Linked DNA regions of Coturnix japonica. The protein of the gene in region 5 interacts with the protein of the main gene of each other region in a biochemical or structural test. Links are inferred from orthologs where the notes say so. Each region holds a gene or a part of one and is shown on either strand. Other genes may lie near its edges.

Evidence for each region.
Region 1: of the proteins of LRRK2 (region 5) and RPS15, one has a biochemical effect on the other in vitro, tested with the Homo sapiens proteins (2 studies listed by IntAct). The link is inferred for Coturnix japonica from reciprocal best matches to the Homo sapiens genes LRRK2 and RPS15.
Region 2: of the proteins of LRRK2 (region 5) and SH3GL2, one has a biochemical effect on the other in vitro, tested with the Homo sapiens proteins (2 studies listed by BioGRID and IntAct). The link is inferred for Coturnix japonica from reciprocal best matches to the Homo sapiens genes LRRK2 and SH3GL2.
Region 3: of the proteins of LRRK2 (region 5) and ARHGEF7, one has a biochemical effect on the other in vitro, tested with the Homo sapiens proteins (2 studies listed by BioGRID and IntAct). The link is inferred for Coturnix japonica from reciprocal best matches to the Homo sapiens genes LRRK2 and ARHGEF7.
Region 4: the proteins of LRRK2 (region 5) and YWHAB interact on a protein array, tested with the Homo sapiens proteins (2 studies listed by BioGRID and IntAct, with this or other methods). The link is inferred for Coturnix japonica from reciprocal best matches to the Homo sapiens genes LRRK2 and YWHAB.
Region 6: of the proteins of LRRK2 (region 5) and SYNJ1, one has a biochemical effect on the other in vitro, tested with the Homo sapiens proteins (2 studies listed by BioGRID). The link is inferred for Coturnix japonica from reciprocal best matches to the Homo sapiens genes LRRK2 and SYNJ1.
Region 7: the proteins of LRRK2 (region 5) and ECHS1 interact on a protein array, tested with the Homo sapiens proteins (2 studies listed by BioGRID and IntAct, with this or other methods). The link is inferred for Coturnix japonica from reciprocal best matches to the Homo sapiens genes LRRK2 and ECHS1.

Annotation. Positions count from the first base shown.
Region 1 is NC_029543.1:2,248,272-2,251,607, reverse strand, and holds RPS15 (40S ribosomal protein S15), read right to left. Parts: upstream 2,117-3,336; 5' UTR 2,020-2,116; coding exon 2,017-2,019; intron 1,714-2,016; coding exon 1,628-1,713; intron 1,145-1,627; coding exon 910-1,144; intron 636-909; coding exon 522-635; 3' UTR 501-521; downstream 1-500.
Region 2 is NC_029547.1:29,795,310-29,799,386, forward strand, and holds the end of SH3GL2 (endophilin-A1), read left to right. Parts: intron 1-2,087; coding exon 2,088-2,287; 3' UTR 2,288-3,577; downstream 3,578-4,077. UniProt on the Homo sapiens protein: Implicated in synaptic vesicle endocytosis. May recruit other proteins to membranes with high curvature. Required for BDNF-dependent dendrite outgrowth.
Region 3 is NC_029516.1:125,581,325-125,584,824, reverse strand, and holds part of ARHGEF7 (rho guanine nucleotide exchange factor 7), read right to left. Parts: intron 2,402-3,500; coding exon 2,263-2,401; intron 1,363-2,262; coding exon 1,303-1,362; intron 158-1,302; coding exon 11-157; intron 1-10. UniProt on the Homo sapiens protein: Acts as a RAC1 guanine nucleotide exchange factor (GEF) and can induce membrane ruffling. Functions in cell migration, attachment and cell spreading. Promotes targeting of RAC1 to focal adhesions. May function as a positive regulator of apoptosis.
Region 4 is NC_029535.1:4,611,370-4,615,641, forward strand, and holds the start of YWHAB (14-3-3 protein beta/alpha), read right to left. Parts: upstream 2,801-4,272; 5' UTR 2,665-2,800; intron 1-2,664. UniProt on the Homo sapiens protein: Adapter protein implicated in the regulation of a large spectrum of both general and specialized signaling pathways. Binds to a large number of partners, usually by recognition of a phosphoserine or phosphothreonine motif.
Region 5 is NC_029516.1:13,471,402-13,474,901, forward strand, and holds part of LRRK2 (leucine-rich repeat serine/threonine-protein kinase 2), read right to left. Parts: intron 2,618-3,500; coding exon 2,416-2,617; intron 1,825-2,415; coding exon 1,736-1,824; intron 1,007-1,735; coding exon 819-1,006; intron 103-818; coding exon 1-102. UniProt on the Homo sapiens protein: Serine/threonine-protein kinase which phosphorylates a broad range of proteins involved in multiple processes such as neuronal plasticity, innate immunity, autophagy, and vesicle trafficking.
Region 6 is NC_029516.1:94,512,719-94,516,863, forward strand, and holds the start of SYNJ1 (synaptojanin-1), read right to left. Parts: upstream 2,801-4,145; 5' UTR 2,796-2,800; coding exon 2,707-2,795; intron 1,647-2,706; coding exon 1,501-1,646; intron 1-1,500. UniProt on the Homo sapiens protein: Phosphatase that acts on various phosphoinositides, including phosphatidylinositol 4-phosphate, phosphatidylinositol (4,5)-bisphosphate and phosphatidylinositol (3,4,5)-trisphosphate. Has a role in clathrin-mediated endocytosis.
Region 7 is NC_029521.1:5,960,970-5,964,579, reverse strand, and holds ECHS1 (enoyl-CoA hydratase, mitochondrial), read right to left. Parts: upstream 2,249-3,610; 5' UTR 2,223-2,248; coding exon 2,108-2,222; intron 1,936-2,107; coding exon 1,738-1,935; intron 1,651-1,737; coding exon 1,523-1,650; intron 1,450-1,522; coding exon 1,350-1,449; intron 1,271-1,349; coding exon 1,166-1,270; intron 1,096-1,165; coding exon 976-1,095; intron 895-975; coding exon 827-894; intron 752-826; coding exon 686-751; 3' UTR 501-685; downstream 1-500. UniProt on the Homo sapiens protein: Converts unsaturated trans-2-enoyl-CoA species ((2E)-enoyl-CoA) to the corresponding (3S)-3hydroxyacyl-CoA species through addition of a water molecule to the double bond.

The DNA.
Region 1 (3,336 bases), on a different chromosome or scaffold from region 5:
GGTTGGAGGCTGGGGGGGCTCCATCCCCACCCCGGGGTCCACAGACCCTTTAAGGGGCGACCCCCAGCTCCTTTGGGCTGCAATGAATGGACGACGGGACCACCTCCCATTGAAGCCAATAGAAGCTCAAAGCCTTTGTCATCCCATAGTTAGGACAAGAGCAGCCAATTGGGGTCACCCCATAGCTGTCTGTGCCCCATAAGGTGCCTTAATTCCAACCTTGTGACTCTTTAGGTATGGTTTGAAGCAGCCCTATGTATGTAAAACCACTCAGCCCTATCCAACAAAGACTGTGCGATATCATTAACCTTAATAAATCCATTAATAAATCCATTTAAAAGGCTGTGCTCACCAAAAAGAACCAGAATATAAGCTCAAATAAAGCAGGATGGACCCACCCTGAGCCAGCCCTGCCCACATGGAAATGATGGATTCACTGAGATCCCCCCCCCAGCCCCAGGATTAGAGACAGGGAGGAGCTTCTTTATTGACACACAGAAGCCGTTTCCCAAAGCTCTGGTTTATTTCAATGGGATGAACCTGGAGGAATGGGTGGCACCGATCCCGGGCCGGCCGTGCTTCACCGGCTTGTAGGTGATGGAGAACTCGCCCAGGTAGTGACCGATCATCTCGGGCTGGAAGTGAAGGAGAAACAGGGGTTAAAGGGGGTGAAAGGGGGTTTAATAGGGGGGTGGGGGGCAGCCCTGCTAACAAAGCACAGCACAGAGCACAGCTCACCCAGCAGGATCTGCTCACTGTGCTTTAAGTCACCTTTAACACCGCAAACAAAACCCTCATAGACAATGCCATTCAATACAGGCAGCGCTATCGGGTGGCACCGTGTTATTCCACACCTAGAAACAGCTCAGATTCCCCCCACCCCCGTTAAAGGGGTTACACGAAGCTCACCTTGATCTCCACCTGGTTGAAGGTCTTGCCGTTGTAGACGCCCACCATGCTGCCCACCATCTCGGGGAGGATGATCATATCACGCAGGTGGGTCTTCACCACTTCGGGTTTCTCCATGGGAGGCGCTTCCTTTTTAGCCTTACGAAGGCGCTTCAGCAGGGAGTGCTGCTTTCGGCGCAGCCCCCGGTTCAGGCGGCGGCGCTGACGGGCGCTATAGAGCTGCATCAGCTGCTCACTACAAGGGACGGACGCGTTGAGGCTGCAAGGCCTGACGGTGCTGCCCACCGAGGCCTCCACTGGACCCAGCGAGGCCTCATTGGACCCAGCGAGGCCTCACTGGACCCACTGACGCCTCCAATGGACCCACTGAGGCTTCATTGGACCCACCGAAGCCTCAATGGACCCACTGAAGCCTCATTGGACCCAGCGAGGCCCCCATTGGACCTAGTGAGGCCTCATTGGACCAACCGAGGCCTCATTGGACCCACCTAGGCCTCAATGGACCCAGCAAGGCCTCCATTGGACCCAGTGAGGCCCCTATTAGACCCACCGAGGCCTCCATTGGACCCACCGAAGCCTCACTGGACCCAGCGAGGCCTCATTGGACCCAGCGAAGCTTCAATAGACCCACCGAAGCCTCACTGGACCCACCTAGGCCTCCATTGGACCCATTGAGGCCTCATTGGTCCCAGCGAGGCCCCCTTCCCCCCGCACTCACTATGACATGTCGAGCAGCTGGTCCAGGTCCACTCCCCTGTATGTGAACTTGCGGAAAGTTCGCTTCTTTTTCTGCTCCACTTCAGCCTGTAGCCGGGATGGGGTGGAAGGGACGCGGCCGTTAGAAGCACACGGCCGCCATGTTGGCCTCAAACACCGCCGCCTCCATCAGCACCCGGGGCCTGGCGGCCTTCAAGGCCCCATCTCCTCCCGGCCTTAACTCCTCCGGGCTCCATCTCCTCCATGCTGCAAGGACCGCCCGCCCTCCGCCCTCCATCCCCCCGTAGGGAAGATGCCGCATCTCCCTCGGCCGCAGCGGAGCCCCTGGAGGCCGCACCGGCTGCGGATGGAGCCCGATTAGAACCGCCGCCCCCCCCGGCCCGCACCCACCATCTTCGCCTGCTCTGCGAGGAAAGGGAAGCCGGAAGTGAGAGATCTCGCGAGAGCGACTGCGGCCGGAAGTGGAACCAATGCCCGCCCCGCGCAGCACTTCCGCCCTTAGTGCTCTTAAAGGGGCCGCGCCCGAAAAATCCAGAGATAGGGATTGTTAATCAGAGATAAGGGATTGTTATCAGTGATAAGCTGGAACCCCCCCGTTATCACACTGCAGGACTCAGCGGGGAGTCTGACTGCACACAGGGCAGCTGCAGCCGTGTCTGAGCTCAGTCCAATGCAGGTGGCAGCCAATGCAGCCCTTTGGTGTCTATATAAGCCCAGCAGTGCCATGCAGCTCCTCATACAATGGCTGCAGCCCAATCGATTCCTCATGGATCCATAAGAAAGCTCGTAATTAAAATAATTAAAAATAAAATGGAGACAGGCTTGTGTTTCTAATCCAAATGTACTTGTCTTTATTCAAACCAGGGCTGACAGCTGGTCAGCGCAGGACGCACCTCGAAAACCTTTTTTTTTTTGCCTGAGGGTTAAATCTACATCTTCACACAAGGCCTCGGTTCAAACCCCAAATCCTGAATGCAAAAACCCAACACAGGATCCCATAGAGAGGATTGAAGCTCAAGGCCTCGCTCCATTAAGTGACTCCGTGCACCAACAAAGCCTGCAACCAAACCTGCCTCTCATCCATTCAGCCCCTAAAAAGCCCCATTGGGTCGATAACAGATGCAAAAAGCAAAGCAACGCTCAGTAGATTTCATCTCTTAACTCCCCCGAGTTCCTCTCTGACCCCATCCGTCAGCATTGAGGGAGCTGCAGCTCAACCCTTCTGCTTCCCAATGGGAAAAAAACCCTGTTATTTTAAATTAAAAAATAAAGCCAGCATACATAGTAGAAAATTTCTCTTAAAAATTCTCACAATCTGTAAATGTATAATATATATAATTATTTTTTTTTATGGTTTTTTTTTTTTATCTTTTTCAACATAAAAGTTTACAATATACGGTCAAAAAAAAAAAAAAAAAAAAGGCTCAGGAAAAAAATAAACCCAAAAAAAAAAAAAAATTAACCCAAAACCTGAAGTTTGGAATTAAAGCTGAAGACATTTTTAAAACCCTGTTAAGTTTGAACCAGTGACATTTGCTTTATTTTGTGCTGATGGGTTTAAAGAAAAGGGGGAAAAAAAAAAAGAAAAAAAAAAAGAGTTAAAAACTGCAGTCCGAACACCCACAGCTTTGCCTTCAGAAGCCGCCTTCCCCCCCCCCCCCCTCCCTTATATCCCCCCCCCCATCAAAAAAAAACCACCTTTGTCTTCCA
Region 2 (4,077 bases), on a different chromosome or scaffold from region 5:
AAAGCATAGTACAGAATTTTTCGTAAAACACTAATTTCTTCAGGCAGAAAAACATAGATGGATCATCCATTTTTGGGTCAAAAATGTCCTTAGTGCTAGAGCTATAAAGACTTGCTGCCATACTGAACTCCTCTTGAAATACAGATCATAGAACAGGCATTTAGAAAACTCAGAGATCGACTGCAGGTTTTCAATGAAATACAGAACTCTGCAACACTGAAAATCTCAGTAATCCCCAAACCCTACTTTTTAAAAAACAGGCATTATGGTACGTATGACTTGAAATTAAATATCACTAAAACCAGAAACAGCGGCAAATGAGGTATGATGTCTGTTCAATGGTGAGCAGCATAAACAAGGTGAAACATTTACATGACTGTACATCATTAGTATCTTCAAGATGTATTTTATTTCCTATCAGCATGTACTATGAAAGCTTTATCTTTTGTTCATCACAGTAACAGTCTGCTAATATGTATTATCATGACAGTTGTCCTCTTCCCAGACCCTGACCTCAACTATTCCAACTGACCTCAATGACAATGGCTTGCACACTCTATGTTGCAAGATTAAATGCTTTTCACTGGATCAGATTTTCTTCCTTCTCATAGTATCCCAGTGTGAATGTTTAAAATTCTCCCAGATATATGCGGCAACCTTATCTTTGTTTGGCAAGTGGAAATGGTCTTGTAAACTAGGAATTTTGTGATTATGCACACAAAGAATGGGGGTTAAATTGGGGATTCCTTGTGCACGAGTGTAGCTTCAGTCCTGTACAGTAAAAATCTCCATGTCACACCACCACAATTTCCTTCTTCACTCATATTTTTGTGGTGTTGTGAACACTTCTTTGTGATGAGATTGTACAAACTGATATTCCTGTCTCTCTCAGAGAGCAATATGTAACATTTTCGTCAGTAGGAGTTCTTTCTTTTGAGGGGCTCATTATTTTTACAGAAACATCTTCTTTTAAAATTCCTTAATGTAGATTTGTGTTAATTCATTCAAAGATTTCCTCTTTTCACTAAATCCTGCTCTACTGACATCTATAGAAAAGGAATATTCTTATCCTAAAATAGCTCAAGCATGGATCTTCTAGCTATGGGGAGCAGTTCAAATGAATATTTAAAAAGTCTGAATGTGAAATCAGTTCATCCTGGAACTGGTACATGTAAAAAAGCTGAAACAAACATATTCCCAGAATTGGCACGATTTAGATGCATGTGTCATTTCATTCTGACCAGTAGAAGTGCACAGACATTAACAACGGAAAATCAGATAGGGATATAAGTTTAATAAATGCTGATAAATCTTAAATATTTTGACTATGAACTGCTTTTGGTAGGCTTAACTCTATAGAATCTTTGGGGATTGAGGGAAGGATATGAGCACAAGGAGGAAATAATATTTCTAGATTTCATATGACCAATTAAAATCTAATCTAATAATTATAATAATACCCATTAACCATGCTAAATGATTTATGGTTAGATATTCATGAAATATCATATTAGAAAGATTTCCATTTCAGACTGTGCCAAAACAATTCTGATGCTGATCTAATCATCAGTTGTTTCATGGGAATAAGAAGGTTTTCTTTGGAAAGCTTGTACAAAAATTCATGAGGTCAGGAGCATATAGGACAGTTTACACAATAGTTGTACCAATGAAGATTTCAAATAAAGACACAGTTTTATTTTCATTGCTGTTTTAAGATATCATTTTGCTATTTCCTTGAGACACAGGCAAAGCATTTCTGTGCCAGTAAAACTGGAACTATGTTTGGGCTTTTGCTTCATTTTTTGTGTTTTGTAAACAGATAAAAATTAGATCCCAGACTGGTAGTAGTTATTCTTTTAAGTGTAGGCTTGAATGTAATTTAGATCTTTTAGTATTCTCAATTTCCAAAAGTTGCTAACTATCTTCTAATACAGTTTAGCTGCCTAGATTTAGATGCTGTCAGAGGACTGCCATCGCCATATGAAATACACGGGAAACAGCAAAATTTAAATGAAGTAAAAAGTTTAAAATGATAGCATAACTGCTGAGATTTTAAAATGTTATTTCTTTCTCTTTCTTATCCATAGGTGCTCACATGGATCAGCCATGCTGCCGAGCTCTGTATGACTTTGAACCAGAAAATGAAGGAGAGCTGGGATTTAAAGAGGGTGATATCATTACCCTCACTAACCAGATTGATGAAAACTGGTATGAAGGGATGCTTCATGGCCAGTCAGGATTCTTCCCCATCAATTATGTCGATATTCTAGTTCCTTTACCCAATTAAGATAGCTGATCCACCACCTCTGTTCCAGATAGTAATGTCAGTACCACTGCTTTCAAAATGCTGCTTCTTACACCTTACAAGTGCAAACTGCAGTGGTTAGAATCGTCAAGTCCCACTGAGCATCTTTGGTTTATGTGTTGTCATACTGCGTAGTGGTGATGCGTGGTATCTTCTGAGCCAACATAGTGTGGGTTAGACCACTTGGCCACACTGACCTCGTGGTAACCAGAGTACTGCTGAGATGATGTTGGGAAGATGATGGCAAGCCAAACAGGTGACTCATGGTGAAGTAGCAGGAAGTGAAGGTGGTACTGGGAAGATAATGCCTATCACCACTGTATTACTTTTCAGTCTTAGTTCTTTGTAAAAAGAGGGAAAAGTTCTTGCCATTCCATCTTTCCCTTCCTGATGATACAGTTCACATGAGTCTAACCATGACTAACAAGAATTGTATCTTCTGACCAAAATGGCTTGCTATTCTCACAGAGACGGTATAAATATAGACGCTCTGGTTTCTCAGAAAGCGAACCACTGTACTGCGTGCCCTTCTGGTCTCTGCTCATTTTTGTATTTTTGATTGTTATTAAAAGACCTATTTCCATCTGTAGGTAAACTTCGAACCATAAAAAGGGGATTCCTATAGTAAAGAGCTTGAACCACAAACTACATGAATTTGCCCTTCATAAACTTTGAGCATGCTCAATAAAATGCCGGTAGAAGGGCAAGATGGGGGATAAAACTGTTATTAGTGTTAACTGTTTGTTGTCAAGTTTTGGCACAAAATCATGCTGCTTAAGCACCAGATAGTCTTTTTAAACTCATTCACTGTGGAGGAAAACCAACCAAAATACTATCTTCCCTGCTTTTATTTCTGTCTACCATGTGTTCTTCGAACATCATTTGTGTGTATTCTGCCCTCAATGAGGACTAAATAAAACTTATTTCTTTTTGTGTTGAGCAATTAAAGACATGTGGCTGTATATGCAAAAACATTTCCCCATATGTTTAGTTCACTCTTTTTTTTTCCTCCTTACTGCACTTGGTGTGTACAGTGCTGTGCCTAGCTTCTCAGCCTTCTTTCAGATGCAAAAGTTCTGTTAGTTTAGTAATCCAGAGTTCTATTTATGTAAACTATAGAGACTCTCTTTCAGAAGTTTAATGTGCTGCTTTGAACGTGCCACTTCAGTACTGGATGATGTGAAATGATGACAATTCCCTACTGCTTAATATATAAACTGTATCATGGAATATTGATATTTCAAATAAATGCTGAGAGAATAACTGGAATAATTTTGTGAATTATTATTTTATTCTTTAAAAATCTCTTGTGCTTAACTTTGACTAACAAGAATTTTGTTTTGGAAAATGTGTTTCTCAAGCCTGACTTGAAAATGTGAAAAAAAAAAAGATTTTTATATTGTTGCATGGCTTCTCTGAATTGAAACCCATATATGTAAAATGATCTTCATAAATAGGGTAGGCTGAACATCAAGCACATAAAGTTAATGTCATTATGACCAGCATGCAGTCTTGTGGAGACAGGATAGTTCCTGTTCAAGTATGCTGTGTTTCGAAAAAAAAAACACCAAGTAATGCTTAGACATACTTGTAATAGTATTTTGAGGGTTTTATATTAGAGTTACATAGGGTTTATATTCTTTGTTGTACAGATATGATCATGGGTTAGCCTTGACAAAGAACCAGGCACCTACCCAACGGCTTGCTCTTGGTCTCTTCTCAGTGGGTAGGGAGGAAAAATGGGAAGAGAAAGCTTGTGAGCCAAGATAAAT
Region 3 (3,500 bases), about 110 Mb from region 5:
AGTACATTACCTCACTTCCAGCGCACTGAATCATGACCTGGGACATGTAAATCACATTGCCAAGTGTTTTAATATCTTCTCCCTCCCAACAGCGAATTGCTTCTGTTAGTATTTGTAGTTCAAGTTCTTTCCGTTTTCGTACTTCTTGACATTGTGCCTAACAAATAAGAGGCAAAAATATTCTTTTGTATCAACTCTACCAACACAGAACAGGTTGAGGGTAGAAATACCACTATATATTTACCATTGTCATTGTAGTACACAGAAGACAGTACCTACATTTGCAGCATTTTCATATATTGCTACTACCAGTATTTCCCATAAAACTAGTCTAACTTAATAGTATTTCTTTCTTTAATAGACTAACTTCAATTAGAAATTGGTAGTCACATCCTTGTTTTTTAAATTACCCTTTCCATTTTTATACTTGTGACAAAAAACATCTAGGCCAAGCAGGAAGAAGTAATGCAGCTGTCTTGAATACATATAGCTACACGCAAAATATACTTGAATTACAAGAGACTCGTCAATTGTGCAAACAGAGTACACACAACCTTCTGCTCCTATTTCTGTTACACTTCCTGCCAATCTATTTCACTAACTGTACTCCCAACTTATCCCACTTGCTTTTCCCTCAAGAAGTGTTTCCTTTCATTTGTGAAGTGCTCAGACTCACAGATCCTCCAGCCTTTTCTGAACACAGACCACAGTAAAATTTCTGCTTTAAAATGTAAAAAACGGGAAGTGCCTCCATTGCTAACAGGAAACACAAAAGTTTACTGTAATTGAGAATGCAAGAAATACATCTGTTGCAGTTGTACTTCTTAAATTTAATAGTTGTATTCTTCAGAATTAAGATCTATTGTCCTTTAAACAGCAATATCAACTCATCTGTCCAAAACAGGCTTATTATCTTGATTATTTAAAGATCCCATATTCCCATCCTCATTTGCACTATCTGCACTATCACTTCTCCCCCAGCTCCAGCACAATTCCCCTAGAATGAATGCACCTTTGTACAATCTCAGAAATACACTCAAATGTTGTGGCCCTTCTTTAGGTCACAAGTGCAAACAGAAAGGAAAATGAAGCACAAATAAGAGCCTATTTGCTGTAACTCCCCAACAAGGTGCAGTTCTTAGCCCTGCCCACAAACTACATTAATCTCCAGAGTCCCAGAACTTTCAGCAAATTTTCTTATACAGGTGTGTACAAAAAAGTTTCACATTTTAAAACCAACAGGGATTAAACCAGAAAACATGATGCTGAAAATATACATGATCTATTTTTCATTCCTCTTACAGAAAGGTTTTTGAAGGCTGTCATGGATTTTTGAATATCTGGACGATCTGGATGGTAATCCTAAAAGCAAGGGAAAAAAAACATAGTAAAAAAAATCAGTTTTAGTAAAAATAATAATAAAAATGCTTAGAGGCTTAACTAAAAGCAAATCAACAATCCAATAAAATAAAAGCTGTTAGACCTATCTGTTCTCTTTCCATAACCTTCCAATTCAACATACTGGTGGTCTTCCTCTTGGTAAAAGTGAAATAGGAATGTTGTAGTTGACTCTTTTGCTTAAAAAAGTGTCAAGGAAATTTTACATGTCCTTCTGGACACATAAAATTGCTTACCAACTTGAACTCCTAATACAAAGTGCATATTTTTAAGGGTTTTATTTGGCTTGTTGTCTTTCATTGTAAATACATCACACTCCCTAGATACAAAATGTCAGGCTGTCATTGACTGACAAACCATGTGACTCAGAGTACAGTTTCTAGTTCTCTTTCTCCTTCACAGCTAAGAAATCTAGCCTATAAGATGAAAATGCAGAGACAGTTGATCTTCAAACATCTTCCCACGGTGGAAAGATCATTTCTGGACAGTGTTCAGTAGAAGTCAAGATGATGCATCCAACAGGTTGAAATCCTAACATGAAAAGCAAAACTCCTACAAGATAAAGTTGCCTCAAGTTGTGTGTACAGTAGACCAAAAAAACCCAAAAACAAAACACAAACATCAAGTCTGCAAGACTCTTCTAGGGGTGAAGGTTGGCTTCTCTGTCTAGCTCTACTGTAAACATTTAGCTTTCTCAGGAAGTCTTATTGCACCACCTTCTGAAATATTGCAGCCCATATCTTGGAAGGCTGAAGAAAAAGGAAACAAAGGTAATTTGGGGTCCCATCATGTTTGACATGTACCTTTAAAATAACTGATGTCAAATCATCATTAAGCTGGAACATAAATGCTGATAAGATATACCTCCATGTGCCTTTCAAGCTCTTTGAGTAACGTGGGGTATTTATCCAGACGCATAAAAGGTTTGCTGAGGCCTGTGGTCAGGACAAGGATCCCAGGGCTGTTGGCACCTTTCACCTCCATGAATTCTCCTAGCTCCTCACTGCACACACAAGATATTTAAGCAAAGTAAGATCAAGTTACTAAGAATATTAAAGTTAAATTAGATTCTTCAGTCATTCACACGCCATGAATTCTGCCAATAAAAGGTTAATTCCAATTAATTAAAAAAGAATAATTCAAGAATTTAAGTACAACTTAAGAGATGTCATCATTTTGTTCTTGCTTAACGCAGAGACATCTATCAATCTGGGTTCCACCATACATTCAGGAGGCAGAGATAGGATTTCACTCACCATTCTAGGGGACTGATGCTCAGAGATAGCTCTTAAACGTCACTACACTCAAGGAAAAGTTGAAGAATAAAGCCATTTGCACAGTATTTCATTACTTACCTCTTTATTCTAAGAAAACGACATCTGAACTTAGAAGTGGTTTATGTACATAATGGCCAGGCATAAGCTAGTAAATGGCTCTATACTGAATCAAGTGCTGAATCAAACACTGCTGTTTTTAATGCAGCAAACACTAATGTGAAAGCAGAGAGTAAGAACCTTCTTCCTAACACATTTCAGTGTTTCATGACCTATCACACATCCAAGGTTCTAGTGCAATTTTGGTCATTTGATTAATTAATCAGCAGCCACACAAATGGTAGATGATATCAGGTACTGGCATGCAGTCTATCCTCATGAGCTACAGTTTCAAGGTAGGTATAATTACATAACACTTCTTGACATCAGCATTAGTTCAAGAAACCAACACTCTCCAAACATCATGAATTGATATTTCCTCTACCCATAGCTTTTCATATTTGGATCAACTGACTTGCAGCACATCCCTTCCAGTTGTTACACAAATTCTCATGTTGCTTTGCTACCTTTTAATGGAATTAAAGTTCACTCTGCTATCAGTGAAGCTTACGTTATCTACGTTCTCTGCTTCCTTATACAGCAGAGATTTCAGAGAAATAAGGTAGAGGACAAGTTGCTACTGGTCATCCAAACACAAAAAAAAAGAAGTAAAAAAATAAATCAGCCTTCTCCTTCAGAAAGGAAGGTACAGCAGCACCTGAGCTTATCCCCAGGCTTGAGAAAACACACATTGCAGAAGTACACAAACGTCTGAATACAAGATCTAGT
Region 4 (4,272 bases), on a different chromosome or scaffold from region 5:
CAACTACCAACACATGGATGTACCTTACAGGTTTGTGGATAGGCAATGAATTACAAAATTAAACATGTCTGTGAGGTACGTTCCATTCTATTTCTGTAATTATTGAGACTAACAGCTTTTATTCCTGAAACAAATGGCAAAGCCATCATTCAGGTGCACACACGCTGACAGCAGAGCTACAATGCTGGCAGAACCTGTGTGATACTGATGGCAGCCACCATCAAGCGGGCATCGCTCGGTCAGTATTTTCTGCATGAAAGGAATTGCCCTTCCATAAATGGAGTGCGATGAACCTTCTTTGCTTTACCTCAGCCATTTCACTTCGTTGTGTCTCTCTATTTCAGTTCCCTCCAAGGCAACCATCTATTGTTGAAAAACTGATCAGAAAATGGACGTCTGATACAATCACAACACTGAAGTCTTCTGCAGCCACCCTGAGCTTGGCTATGACAAAAGTTCAGTACAATATACTGCATGTTTAAGGAAGGGAAAAGAAAAATGGGTTTCACAGCTGTGATATTCTCACTGACCTTGTGCAGCACACAACACCAACCTCCTCTGTACCTGCTGATTAGAAATACATCCCGGCCTTCGGTGCTAATCATTCCGCAAACGTTAAGATCACATTAACATTCTATAAAGTCATGCCTCAATTTGCTGGGCAGCTTTCTGCCACCATTAATTGCTCTTTCCTCAAACTGATTTTCCCTATCATTTGGAAAAATGGTACAAAGGCTTTCAATCTCTGCAAATAACCATGGGATCTTCTATCAGAAGTAACAAGAGCAGGGATGGAAACTGACACTGTATGGACAAGTTGAGTTTAGTGACCGCAGCCTTACTGTCCCTATTGACTTCTGATGAGGAACTGGAGGCTGAGAAGCATTGCACTGCTCCATACCTATGGCACTTCACGCAGGACAGCTGCGGGTGGAGACAAGCACGTGGTTCCAAAGTACAACATACTTACGTGGTAACACCTTGTTCCAGTGAATGCGCCTTTAGCCCGAGTCCAAGTGCAAATAGTCGAGTTATCCCACAAAAAATCTCCCCCCAGGCATAAAATTAATGACAAACGAATGTATCTGTATCACAGGTAAATCACTTGTTAATAACAATCTGAAAACATTTATATTACAGCGTAGAGCAAAAAGTGTGGTCATATAAAAGCCATTAAAATAAGGCCTAGTCCTGCTGGGATTTATGAGGACACCAGACAGGCTGCAGTACAAGCTTCTCATCCCGTTATTCAAATAACTATTGACTTAACTCCTCCTTATTGGAGTTTATTCACATACAGCACAAAAAGCTGCATACCAGCAAAGGGCTGCTTACAAAAAAAAAGGACTCTATCAAAATAGCAGAGATCAGAACATGCAGTACTGACATAATGAGGTTGAGAAAACTGCACCGGGCCCATCTGTGCACTGAGTCTACCACTCCACTGGTACCAATTTAATAAACCAACTATTACATAAACTATATTTTTGCAGGTTTTTAATATCAAGAGTGAAGAAAACACTCACGTTCTTTTCTTTCCTTTTCTAGACCGATTTGCATCTCCATATTGCCTTCAAACAATGCAAGCTACTCTTTAAATACAAGTACTACAACTTCTGCCTGAGGTCCTGCAGCAGCGCATGTGTGAAGACACAAGTATTCCCATAACCAGGAATGCTACACAACCTTAAAATTCTTTTGTATTCTTCTGCTTCTACAACCCTGAGTGATAAACAGTTTTTCTTCCTACCCCATAAAGTTATTTTAACGGTTGGCAAGGAATTTAACTAAGTAACTGAATGATACTGCAATGGCAGCATGAGATACATTTTTGCCCTACGTGCTAACATAGCGACTGCATCCCACTTGTTATCATTCCAATTAATATCTAATTATACATACCTCATAAAGGCCTAAAGTTGTTAGTTCTAGGTGACTAACCCAACCTTCTTATATATTGGGGATAGCGTGAAGTCAGCTTTGCAGTCCTCCCTAAACTCATCTCTATCCCCAGATAAGAATAATTTAAGATTAAAAATAACACCATCGGTGTAACATCTTCTGAAGCACCGCAGACGTTTCATCTCATCACCTCTCCTAAACCTGAGCGGGCTCACACGGATGGGCCCTACAGCAGGCGCCTCGTAAGAGCTCCGGGCTTTGTGAGCGCCGCGAGAAGGCCCGGAGCATGGAGAGGGTCGTGAAGGGAGGAGCCCTCGGGAGGAGGAGGAGGAGGAGGAGGAGGAGGAGATGGAGGGGGCCGCCAGCCGTGCCGGGCCCTGCCCTGGGGGCGGATCGCCTCCTCCCCCCGCCCGGGCCGAGCCCTTCACGGGCGGCGACAGAGGGCGCGGGCCCGCGGCTCGGTCCAGGTGTGCGCGGCCTCGCCCCGCGGAGCGCGGTGACTCAGGCGGGTGTGGCCGGGCCAGAAGCCGCCCCGCAGCGTCCGCCCCCGCGGGAGGGTCGCACCGTTACTCGGCGATCGGGTGGGGACGAAGCGGCGCGGCCGGTTCCGCACGGCGCGGGGCCCTCCCGCCGCGGCCTCCACCTCCCCCCAGGCGGCGGGTCGGGAGCTGCAGGCCTCCCCTGCCCGCTCCCCGGGCTCCAGCGGGACCGCGGCGTCGCGGCCCGGCCTCGAGCGAGGGGCGGGCGGCCGCAGACCCTCACCTGGCGGGGGGCGGCGCGGAGCGCGGCTGGATCCCGACGGAAGAAGCGAACGGAGCGCGGCGGCCGCTGGGCGCACGCACACACACACCCTGCGGAGCTGCGGCCCCGCTTCCGGCCTCCAGGACACGCCCCTTCCGGCGCCGGGGGGAGGGAGGGGGGCAGCGCCGCCTCCTGATTGGACGCTGCCCGGCGGGCGCCATCCGGCTGGCGGTTGCTATGGGCTCCGCCCTGAGGAGACGGAAAATGGCGGCGGGGCGGGATGGAGCGGGGTGAATAAAGCGACGGATCCCAGAGATCCGTATCAACTGCTGCAACCAGAGGGACGGCCCGGGCCAGGCCCTGCGGTGGTTGTTGCATGGACTGAGAGTTTTATTTAAGGAATAAAGTCTTGGGCCGCTCAGCTTTTGTGATTTATTTTTTTTTTTGTTCGTTTGTTTTATTTCTCTCTGAGCTGAGGTAGATCCCAGGAGCAAACAGCTGATGGCAGTGCACCATCGCTGTGTGCGAGATGCTGCCCAAAGTGTCACCCAAAGAGAAAGGGATGGAGCTACACTGTGGTACTGAAATAAAGCATTCAAAATATCATCGTAATCTACTAAAGGACTTGTATTTTTTGGTTCTCTTACTCTTTTTTTCTTTCCCCTCTGTGTTCTGCATCCACAGGCTGGGCCTTCCAGTTGTTCCAGAGCTGAGTCACACAGGTCACTGATCACAATTTGTGTGTCTTTTAATGCAAGGGGGATAGAAAACAACAGCACATAATTACATTCAATCTTGGTAATTCCAGCCCCTGCCGTTGTAGGAAGGGATTCTGCGACAGTGAAAAGCTACTGGAAGAAGGATCACAGTCAGGTCTGCAGCAGCCTTTTATGACCCTAAAAGCAAGAAAGAACTGGCTGGGGAACTATTAAAGCAACAGTATTCCCATTTCTTGCAATAGTCTGACTTGAAAACTCATTTTAAATTCCCCCTGTGATGTTCAGGTATTTTCTAATAGGGAAATGTCTGTATATACTGTCAGCAGTTCTGTCATCAAGCTCAAACATCATCTGGACTGTGCAGATCATGGCAAAGTACAGAAAAATGGAGGTACTGCTACTCTGAACACTGTGATATTTTTAAACACCACTGTGTTTTGTATCACACCTCAGAAAGAATCCTTGAAGCTAACTGAGGTGGCAGGGGATGATGCTGAATGGAATTAGGATGCTGGTTTAAGGCACCTGCTATGACATGGGTGTCCAACCTTTTGGCATGCATGCCGTACTTGTAACAAACTGCACCAGCAAAGAAGACCTGCTGTCAGCACTACTGAAACACACCACCCACCGCCTCACTGTGCTCACAGCCAATGTTTGCTGTCCATAAACGTTCAGCAAGTGTCACTACATACCAACAGGGGGGCATTTTTTCCACATGGAGGAACTCAGTGACACGTCTTTGCTTCATACGCACTTCATACGCATCTTCCATTCGCTCCGATTGCCCCTCTGCTGCCATCTGTCATATGGCAGCAAAATGCCATACCACCAACGTCCACTTCTGACAGCATGGGCCAACATCATAAATATATGTAGTCAAACACCTATTTGATTTTGATGGTCTGAA
Region 5 (3,500 bases):
GACCAAAATCCCATAGGAAAGTATGGCATCTCATAAAGTCTGATGATAATTTCTGAATTTTCACAGTGAGGAAGCTCTATAACAGGTCTGTGATCAGACAAACTGAAAGAAAAAAAATATTGTACCTTGTTTAATGATGTACTTTATCCAAACTTATTGATGGCATACATTATTTAACGATGTAAAATGCATTCATTAATGAACAAATAACACAAGGAATCCAGCCGCAGACAGTGTATTGTCTTATTCTGTTTGTTTGTGATAAAGTAAATTTCTGCTATAATCCAAACTCATCACAACCTCACAAATAATTTCTTCATTAAGAAAAACAAGCACTATTTAACACATTAGTGAAATCTGCACCTGAGGTAGAGAAACCATTACCTGCCACATTCAGAACATCTTTTTGGTTGCATTTAATCACCGTGCTGTTTTGGAGAGATTCTGCCTCTGAATACCTTCACAGGTTCTGACTTCAAGCAAATAAGTCATAAGAAATCATGGTTTTAATTTACCTTGCAATAAATATCTGTAATGTCAGCAGACCATAATGTGAGGCTAAATTATAATCTTCCTGTTGTGGAGCACGGTAACTATTAAAGAAGTACTTTCCTCATAAAGCATTTTATTATTCAAAGATGAAAGCTTTATCTGCTACAGGATCAATTTAACATGTCTCTGAAAGCATTTACTAAATAATAAGTACATAATACGCTTTCAAATGCCAAATTGCTCTGTTGATGAGTTAAGCTAGAAAGACCGATGGGAGGTTTTTATTTTGATCTCTCTCTATGGCACATTTGTGGGTCTTTGCTTACCTGCTTGGGATTAGTAGTTGGTCCTCTCCTAATGGCAAAGCAATCTGAAACTTCTCCAGAAGTTTGAAGTATTGTGACATGTAGACCTTAGGAAACTTGCTCTTCTTTAACAGGAATTTTTCCACGTCTGAGCGCTTAACAATTCCCTTAGGATACTTAGAAAAGCCTTCTACTTTCACAGTCAAAATCTTTCAAAAAAAGGAAAACAATTTGAGGCGTACAGTCATCGTTACATCGTATTTTCCTTACTAATGTTGTCCCTGAAATATCTGGTAGTCTATTATTTGTGAGGAAAATTAGACTCCATGTCACAATGAAACCAATGACTTCCATAATGTGAACCAGCAAGGAGACAACAGTCTTGTATTTTTGCATTCCATTTCATTCAGTGAATGAAAGGTAAATTTTCAGGTCAGGTTATGTGAATATTTATCAAAAAGTGGCGTTTCTAAATCAAGATATCAAGTACAAATTCACTTAAGCAGACAAGCCATTTCTTTTCTGTCCTAATACAGGATTCTGTATCATTGACTTTCCTACATCACTAGTACAAGCATACAGTGACCATTCCTCACCCATTATCACTACTTCAATACAGAGCTTCTGCTTTTTTCTTCACCTATCACAATATTGTGGGATAAGTGTGCATCCCTGAGGTTTTTTTACTCTATGGGTATTCCTGTGCCTGGTGCCAATTAAATGATGTTCCACATTACATAAGAAAAGGAATAACTGAGACAGGCAGCTGTCTAGAACGCAAAGAAAACAGAAAGAAATGGGTAATTTGAAACACAAAGAAATACTAAATAATGAAACTGTAAAGAAATAGTGAAAAAGAATCATTGGTAAATGACAGTGGCTTGGTACAGGGGAAAAAGTTTCATGAATGTAGATATAAAACATAATCAGAGACTGACCTGTGCCATGATTTTACACAGCCACTTAGGATCTACGAAGTACAGATCTCTTAGCTGTAGTGCTGGGTCCTGAAAATGAAGCAGTACACCTGCACAAAACACACTGTAATTAGCAACACATTCCTTATGCTCCCTATTAAGCAACATAACCACCTCACTCCGGGCTGTCTTCCCTATGTGACTTGATACAATCAGTTTGAACACTAAATTCAGTTATTGCATCTGCATCAGTATCTTGAGAGAGTAGAAAATCACGGTTTGTTCAGCTTTACCTCTATTTTCAGATGTTTTGTTAGGTTTGTTATCTGACTTGGGCATTTTTGGTGAAGCGGTTTTGCTCTATGTTGTTAATTATTTCATATTTAATTCTGTATAGTGCTGATACAAGCTGTTACCTGCCATTCTGTTCAAGCTGTCTCAACAATTGTATCTTTCTTCAGGCACTTTGCAGCCTAACAAGCAGGGTGATACTTCCCAGGAGTGACAAGACACATAAGATGTTATAAGAGTGATGCTTTTTATCATGAAATTTCTTGATGAGGATTATCAAACTGCAATATTTTACCCACGGGCAGCATTTCAGTTCAACACAATGGGTAAACCTTGATCCATACAAGTCTCATCTGCTGCACATTTGCAACAAATTGCAAATAAAACATCCACTGAAGATCATATTTTACCTGATTCATTCAGAAAGTGAATTGCATGAGGGAGCTCATTTTCATCCAGTTGTAACTTGTTTTCTTGTACCATTTCTAGTAATCGTTTCTGATCAATCACAGGAAATTCAACCGGGACATTTTTTCTTTCCAGCAAAATTCTCTTCTCCAGCTCCAGATAGCTGTCAGGAATTAGCTGGCCAACCACCGGTTGATCTCTGATCTGCACAATTAGGAATAATAATATTAAATGTATTGATTTATCCACATAAAGTGTAAACAATATTGCAACTCAGATGTAAGCTGCGTATATTAGCCCAACTGTAGCAGCAGCAAGGAATAAGAACACTCTTATTGACTAAAGTGGCTTCTGAAAAATAGATGGGACTAATTCTTTCAGAATTAATGTATGCATGTTTTCCTGCAAAAGAAAAAGCATAGGAGAAAATACTGCTTTACTACATATATATGGGAAAATAAAAAATGACATCTAAAAGTCACAGAGAGAAGCTCTGATTAGAAGTAAGAGGACAACATTCACTGTATGAACATAGTGCATCTCATGTTAACAGAGGACAATAGATAAATAAAAGAATTTTTAAGATCACATTCCTTCTAATCTGTAATGTCTCCAGACAAGTTAAGGGGAAAAGGGCATTTGCTTACGAAAGAGTCTCCACAGTCTGGTGACACAGCGGTGACAGCGGAAAACAGAAGAGAATAAATCTAGCAAGAAGAGTGACACAGCCAAGGATTCTGTTCTTGTTTCCTGTAGCCTGAGTTCCTTCCTGGACACCTGCTTTGACCTTTGGTATTAGCAAGCAATCAGTCAGGCTTTTTATTCCCTACAGGTGCTGAATAAGTTGTTTTGTGAGGGGAAATGGGAAACAATTGTCTTTTTCCCAATTGGCTTCTTAGTTTCTTGAAGAAGTTACATACCAATGCATTGTGGCATTTTTATGTGTCAGAAATGTAATTACTTTCTTATGGAAGTTCGAACACTCAAAGCATTTGAGGGCCATGTTTAATGCTTAATTCATTTTTGATGAAGTTCTAGGCAGGCACCTTGTACCTCCTTTCACAAAGTGTCTAAATTATTTATGGAA
Region 6 (4,145 bases), about 81 Mb from region 5:
TGGCAAAGTCAACAAGATAAGTTACACAAATATTAAGAAGAAACTGTAACAGATAAAAACAAATATCAAAAAATGGGAAGAAAGCACTCACAGTTTTTGACATTGATAACTGTGAGTTAATTTCATTTGTAATGTCAACTGTGCTAGCAAGTCCCATGGCTAGACCTGTATCGGATCATAGCAGCTCCAAATATCACATTAACTAAGGTACAGATTGAGACACAGGCAAGAGAGCACTAGCTCACACAGCCGGTTCAGCACAAACTATGGCCTGATTTCTAAGCACTTAACTTGCAGGATACAGGGTCAGCCAGGTGCCTCACAAAGAGGCAATGCCACAGCTAAGGAGTGCATCAGGCATACAAACAATTACAGATACCAAAGGTAGGGTAGGGAATGCATCTCCAATCCCACTTCAGAACTCCCACTTCTAACCTTCAGCCTTGCTGTAGGAGGGAACATGTTGCCGGCTCAGCCCACTCTACCCTATCTGGGCCAGAGCACCCTACGGGGAGACAACAACCCACCTGTGAGCCCTGTAAGGCTGCAGGCAATGCATTACAACCTCACACTGGGCACCAATTTTCAACAAAAATTGATCCATTCAAAAGAAGTACATCCACAGTACTCAAGCTTTCCACAAGATTCAAGAATCACAGAATCACAGAATGACCCGGGTTGGAAGGGACCTCAAGGGTCATGTAGTTCCAACCCCCCTGCCTGGCAGGGCCACCAAACATACACATTTACTAGATCAGGTTGCCCAGAAGAAGCCTAGGAACTCTTGGCAACCTGGTGCTCAGGCCTTTGTACTGAAGAATACAAACCAAAGTATATTTTTAGACCCTGTCTGTAGGTTTAAAGGATCTTTTCTGCACTTCCTGTTTTAGAGCCCTCCTTCGACTCTGACTTGAAAAAACACAAGCATTTGATGCATTTAGCACTGAAAGCACATAAAAATGACTATGCAATACAAGACATCTTGCTCAAAACATTGACTGACTTTATTATGAGATGATCTAACACACAATGTATGGTGATAGGTTAAAAACACAGGTGCAACATAGATTTAAAAACAAAAAAAAAACCCATCTAAGTCATAATACAAAGTGAGATAAACAAACTAAGATGATGCACCATTTAAGAATACAGCACTTTGTAATAAGTGCACCACAGATTTTGCTTTTTAATGAGTCATTGTGTACTCAAAGGCAGACGATTGCTCAGAACCAAAGATAAGCAGACGCTGGCAGATATTGGAAGAATATTTTGTATACATGGCAATACATATTCATGATGAAAATCTAATTAAATGTGTAAAATTCTCTTTCCAACAGATAAAGATACGAAACATTTCTTCCATTTAAATCAAAAGGATCTCCATTAGCAAATAAAAACCAGAATTGCTGCTTCTTCCTTATCTGTCATAAATAAAAACAGCTTCCACAACGTCAAGGTTGCCAGTTTTTTCATTGTATTTATCAAAACATAGTGACTTACAGAGGACAGCCACGGCTCCAGATTCAAACATGAGACATTCTTCTCTGTTTCTGGCTTCCACTATCACGCTGAACGGGAGCGGATCCAGCTTGTGATAGACACGATATCCTTTACTGAAAGCCATTTTGCCTTTATCGCTGGCAGTCCTGTCCAACACAAGATGATGTTAGTGAGAGCTTCCTGTGCTTCCAGATACCTTCTGCAGAACAGGTCTGACTTCCATTCTTTCCTAAGAATTTTACAGATCTAACAACAAAAAAGAGAAAAAGAAGAAAAGAGATGCTCACTCTTTCTAGTTCATGAGATTTACTTTATGTTTCAAAACAAATATATCTAAAGATAGCTTAAAGACAACATGCCAGCATTGCAAAAACATAATTGCCCAGAGCAGCACAAAGGATTTATTTAAGATCTCCTCCAGAACAACCAGAATTTCTTTTGCAATACCTAAACCAGACTCAGAGAAACTGGAGATGAGGTTCTCCTTTAGTCGCCACAAACACATTAGAGCAGCAGCAACCTTCTGCTGAACACAGAGGGCCAGGAGCTTCAGTTTTACGATGCCTTTTGCTCATGCTGACCTTGTATAAAAGGACACTACATTTCAAACAGTAAAGCTGCTAAGAGGCTTTGGAATAACATACAGAGACGATAACCTACTGCTTGGTTTCTCTTTATAAACGAACGCGGAGCTCCGTCTGGACTTAAGCCCTCCCTCGCAGCGGCTGACGATTAGAAAATCGCAGCACCGCACGAGAGAGACCGCTGACAAGCCATAAAGGTAACACCTTCCTTCGGAGCAATGAAAAAAAGCAATACCAAACCACAAAACACCAGCAGCCCACCGATATATCAGGGGCTGAAGGAATGCACAGAGCATAGAGGAGCGGCTAGAAAGCAGCGAACATGCTCCATTCCCGCAGCCCCACGCCGGTAACCTGAGGGCTGACAGCGGCACCGACCTTCCGCCCCCTCATACGACACAGGCAGGAGCGGCCGGCCAAGGAGCCGGCACCGGTCGAGCAGCCCCCGCCCCTCCACCTGCCCGGCGCCCGCGGCGCTGACAGAGCCTCCATCTTGTCTGGCGCCCGCGGCGCCCCCGCAGCCCGACACCCGCCACGGCGACAGCCGAGCGGGCTCCTCCCGTACCGACAGCCGCCCGCGGTGCCGCCGACCCGCCCCAATACCGGCCCCGCAGCTCCTCACCGGCCGCCACAGCTGCCGCCCGCTGCGCTCCCTGCCGCGGGAGCCGGCGGCACCTCACTTCCGCTCCGGCCCCTCCGTCCCTTCCGCATTGCGCCGCCCGCCACCGGAAGGCACGGGGAGGCGGCGGAGCCATGGTGGATGTTATGGCCGTGCTACCTTGGGGCGGTGAGGAGGGGGATGTGTGTCAGGACGGGGCTGGAGCCGAGCCCTTAGGGACAAGTATCCAGCAGGTTGAAGGAGGTGATCCTCCCCCTCTCCTCCCCCTCTGCTCTGCCTCATCTGGAATATTGTGTCCAGTTCTGGGCTCCCCAGTACAAAAAAGACAGGGATCTCTTGGAAAGAGTCCAGCGGAGGGCCACTAAGATGGTGAAGGGCCTGGAGCATCTCCCCTATGAGGAGAGACTTAGGGAACTGGGTCTGTTTAGCCTTGAGAAAAGAAGGCTGAGAGGGGACTTGATCCAGGTTTATAAATACCTGAGGTGTGGGAGCCATAGTGGCGAGGCTGGTCTCTTTTCAGTAGTGCGTGGGGACAGGACTAGGGGTAATGGGATGAAAGTACAGCATAGGAAGTTCCGCACGAATGTGCGGAAGAACTTCTTTACAGTGAGGGTGACGGAGCACTGGAACAGGCTGCCCAGGGAGGTGGTGGAGTCTCCTTCTCTGGAGATATTCAAGACCCGCCTGGACGCCTACCTGTGTGACGTGGTGTAGGGAGCCTGCTTTGGCAGGGGGGTTGGACTCGATGATCTCTAGAGGTCCCTTCCAACCCCTACAATTCTGTGATTCTGTGAAGTAGTACCCCTGCCCATTAAGCTGACTCTCTTGAAGGTAGGGAGGTCTTACAGAGAGACCTTGACAAATGGGAGGGCTGGGCAGTCACTGACTGCGTGGAGCTGAACAAGAGGAAATGCCAGAGGTACTTGGCAAGGTGTCACTAAAATCTTAAGGCAGAAAATAAGACAGTGCTCGAGAGCTTTGTTGAAATTTAGGCTATGAAAAGATGGGTTTACATATGTATGAAAAATATCACACTGAGTCTTGGAGATACATCTGTTATATGATACATTTCTGTTATGAAAACAGAATCACAGAATTACAGAATTATCAAGGTTGGAAAAGACCTAGAAGATCATATAGTTCAACCATTACCAATACTTCCCGGCTAAACCATATTCATCAACACAACATCCACATGTTTATTGAACACTCCCATGGTCGGTGACTCCACCACCTCCCTGGGCAGTGCATTCCAATGCCTGACTACCTTAGACATTTAAATATGTGCATGAAGCACAAAAGTGGAGTCAATGGGACAGGTCACATATATGAAGAAAAACAAACTTACCTCATGGTTTGGAGCAGAGACTTAAGTGGTCGGCTCTTGGATTATTAAGTGTGTTTATTGTTGTAGGCGTTAGTGAGGACTCTGTCTGCGATGA
Region 7 (3,610 bases), on a different chromosome or scaffold from region 5:
GCCACCTCTGCTTCTCTTACAGCATCCAGGCTCCACAGGCAGTGGAGAAAGCCAGGCTTGCCAAGGACACTGCTTCACGGCCTCTGTTCCTTCCAGACCCTGCTCGGGTCCAGGTGGGGCCAGAGCAGGACCGTGACCATCTCTATCACCCTTCGGACAGGGCTGAGGTGGAGCCTGAACCCCAGTTCCACAGAGCACGCATGGTTCTGTCGGCAGAGGTGGAAAATGGTCCCTCAGAGGACCGTGACCACCTGTACCACAGCTAAGGGAGGCTGCAGCCCTGCCCCCACCATGAGCCCCCAATAAACCTCTCCTTGTTGAGCAGCAGGTGGGTGCTTGGTTTCTGACAGGAACAGGGGGGTCCAGCAGGCCAGGGGACTCAGCCAGTCACCCCAGCTCCCATTCAGCCCATGGGAAGGCCTGGCTCTTTTAAAGGCTCTCAGCCATCTCCAGTGCTTTTCAATGTGGAGGCTCCTAACAACAATGATGATGCACCAGCAGCACCAGGAAAGCCTTTTAATAGCAGTAACGAGCCAAAACCCTACTGGGGATCATGTCCAGTGTGGGCATCATTCCATGCCAAGCGCTGGCTCCCTCTGCAGTGCCAATGGGCCCATCCTTCGTTTTGAGGCACATGGGTGGTAAAGGGCAGACAAGGGCAATCAGTGTCCGCAGGTTCTGCAGCTCAGCTGTCAGTGAATTTGGCCTTGCGCTTCTCCACAAACGCAGTCATCCCCTCCTTGCGGTCGTCCTGGTGGCAGAGAATGGGTTGGGGCGGCCCACAGCCCCACTCTCCCTGTGTGTCCAGGGCCAGCCCTGTACTCACGGTGGCAAAAGTGGCATAGAAGAGGCGCTTCTCCGTCCTGTTCCCCTCTGTCAGTGTTGTTTCGAAAGCTGGAGATGGAGAAAAGATAGGGATGAGGAGATGGGAACACTGTTCAATCTGGACCCCAAATCCCTGAGTTCACCCCGTACCAGCATTGACAGACTCCTTGGCCATAGCTACCACCAGCTTGGAGTTGGCAGCGATCTTCTCAGCGCAGCCAATGGCTGCATCCACCAGCTTGTCCGGGGGAAAGACTTTGCTGACCAGACCTGGGGGCAAGCAGGGAGGTGATATGGGGACCCCCATTGTGCCCCCAGCCTCACCCACACCCCTACCTACCTGCCACCTTGGCCTCCGCTGCTGAGATCCGCTCCCCAGTCAGAACCATCTCCATGGCCAGTGATTTGCCCACCGCCCTGGTCAGCCTCTGCGTCCCCCCAGCACCTGGGGATGGGGTGTTGGGTTTGGGAGCAGGCACGTGGCCGTCACCAGCCCACCGGGGACACACAGCCCCCACGCTCACCTGGGATTGTCCCCAGCAGGATCTCAGGCTGCCCAAACTGTGCCTTCTCCCCAGCATAGATGATGTCGCACATCATGGCCAGTTCACAGCCGCCACCCAGCTGCAAGCACAACGGGTTATGGCACAGCGGCAGCACAGATACGGGGACATGGGGACACGGAAGGGGCACTCACGGCGAAGCCATTAACGGCAGCGATGGTGGGCTTGCGGACAGTGGCCACCCGGTCCCAGCCCGCCAGGAAGCCGCTGCCATAGCACTCCTGGAAGGTTTTGTTCTGCATCTCTTTAATGTCAGCGCCGGCTGCAGGGGGGAAGGCACGGGGTCACCAAAGGGCTGCGTGGGGATGCGGAGGTGGGGCGGTGGGACCGCGGGGTGCCGGAGCCGTACCTGCAAACGCCTTCTCACTGCCGGTGATGACAACAGCTCCCACCTGCCCGTCGGCCTCGAAGGCGTCCAGCGCCCGCCCCAGCTCCTCCATCAGCCCCGCACACAGCGCGTTCAGCGCCTCGGGCCGGTGCAGCCGGATGAGCCCCACGCTGCCGCCCGTCCCGACCTTCTGCACCTGCACGAAGCGGAACGGGGCCCCTGCGCGGCCATTGCGGGCCGACCTTCACCCGTGTGTCCGCGCCGGGCGGTGCCGGCTCCCGGTTCCCCCGCTCGGTGCCGCTGTTCTGACCGCGGCCCGCTCCCGCTGCCCGTCCCCGGCTCCCGGTGCCCCCCGCCCCGCAGCTCCCCCGTCCCGTCTCCCCCCGCTCACCGTGGCTGTACCCCCGCCCCGCCACGTGGGGGCGCAGTGCGTTCAGCAGCGCGCGGTGCCGCGCGGTACCGGCGCAAACAGCGGAGCCGAGCAGGGCGCGCAGCGGGGCCGCCATGTCTCTGCGCGGACACTGCCCGCCCTCCCCGCGGCCTCGCTCCGCCCCGCGCCCATCGCCGCGCTGTGCCGCGCCCCGCACTGCGGATCGGCCATTGGCACACGCGGGACCCGCCCCGCCGCTCCACACGCGTGTCCGCGCTTCACGTCGCCCGCGGGCGCGCGGCCCCGTGCCCACAGCGCGGAGCGGACGGGAGCGGAGCAGGAGCGTGAACCGGGGCTGCACGGCGGGGACGAGACCAGCCCACGCGGGACGTGGGAGCGGGAGGCGGCGGGGGCAGCTGTGCCGTGAGGTGCGTTGGGTTGTGCACGGGTGTGCAGGGGCTGCGCACAGCGCGGGGTGCGTGCGGACGTGCAATGCGTGCAGCGGGATGCGGCACGTGTGAGCGGGACGGACAGCATCACACTTGTCTGTGCAACCCGGTGTCAGTGCATGTGGCACGTGTGTTGAAGTGTGTGACACACGTGCCGTCCATGTATCAGTGTGTGTAATACATGTATCAGTGCATACAACATACATGTGTGGTCCGTGTATTATGCAACATATGTAACGTGTGTGTTGGCATATAGGGCAGACGTGCAGACCATGTGCTTGTGCACCTCATGTGCCGGGGAATGTAACACACATTGTGGTGCATGTGACGCGTGTAATCCATGTGTCAGTGCAATCTACATGCGTGTTGTGAATGTGGCACACGTGTAGTCCCCGTGTTGGTGCATGTAGCACAACACATGCAGGCTGTGACCATGCATCCCACACACAGGTGCATGTGCAAGGCATAAGGAGACCTCGTTGCTGCCCGCGTACCTGTACAGCCCGTGTTGGTGCACGTGACGTCTGCAGCCCATGCACGATGTGACTGCTCACACCCCACATACGTGTGTGCACGCAGTGAGGTGGGCACCTGCCCACAGCACAGCCCCCCTGTGTGCAGGTCGGCGGGATGAGGCGGCGCGTGGCCTGCTGCTGGGTGCTGCTGCTGCTTGCTGCCACCTTCTGCCAGCCAGCTGCCTCCAAGGGCGGGCGTGGGGGCTCCCGGGGGGCTGCACGCGGCATGGCACGGGGGGCTGCCCGCAGCCGCCACAGGGGCCTGCCACGCTACGGCGGGGCTCTGCGTGTGGCTGCGGCGGCGGCGGCAGCTGGGGCGGCGGCTGGAGCTGCACTGCACCAGGCCCGGGCAGAGATGGAGTACCACGAGGGCAACGGGACGGCCTGGACGTCGGCGGCACCGGGACGGATGGAATGGGGCTGGGCCGTGCCCTGGTTCTGTCCCCTCGCTGCCATCCTGCACCACTGATGGCGCCCACTGGGTTCCTCAGCGATTCGACAGTGACGTGGAAATAAAGCTGGGCGACGCTGCGTGTGGATGGATGTGGCCCAAGCAAGGG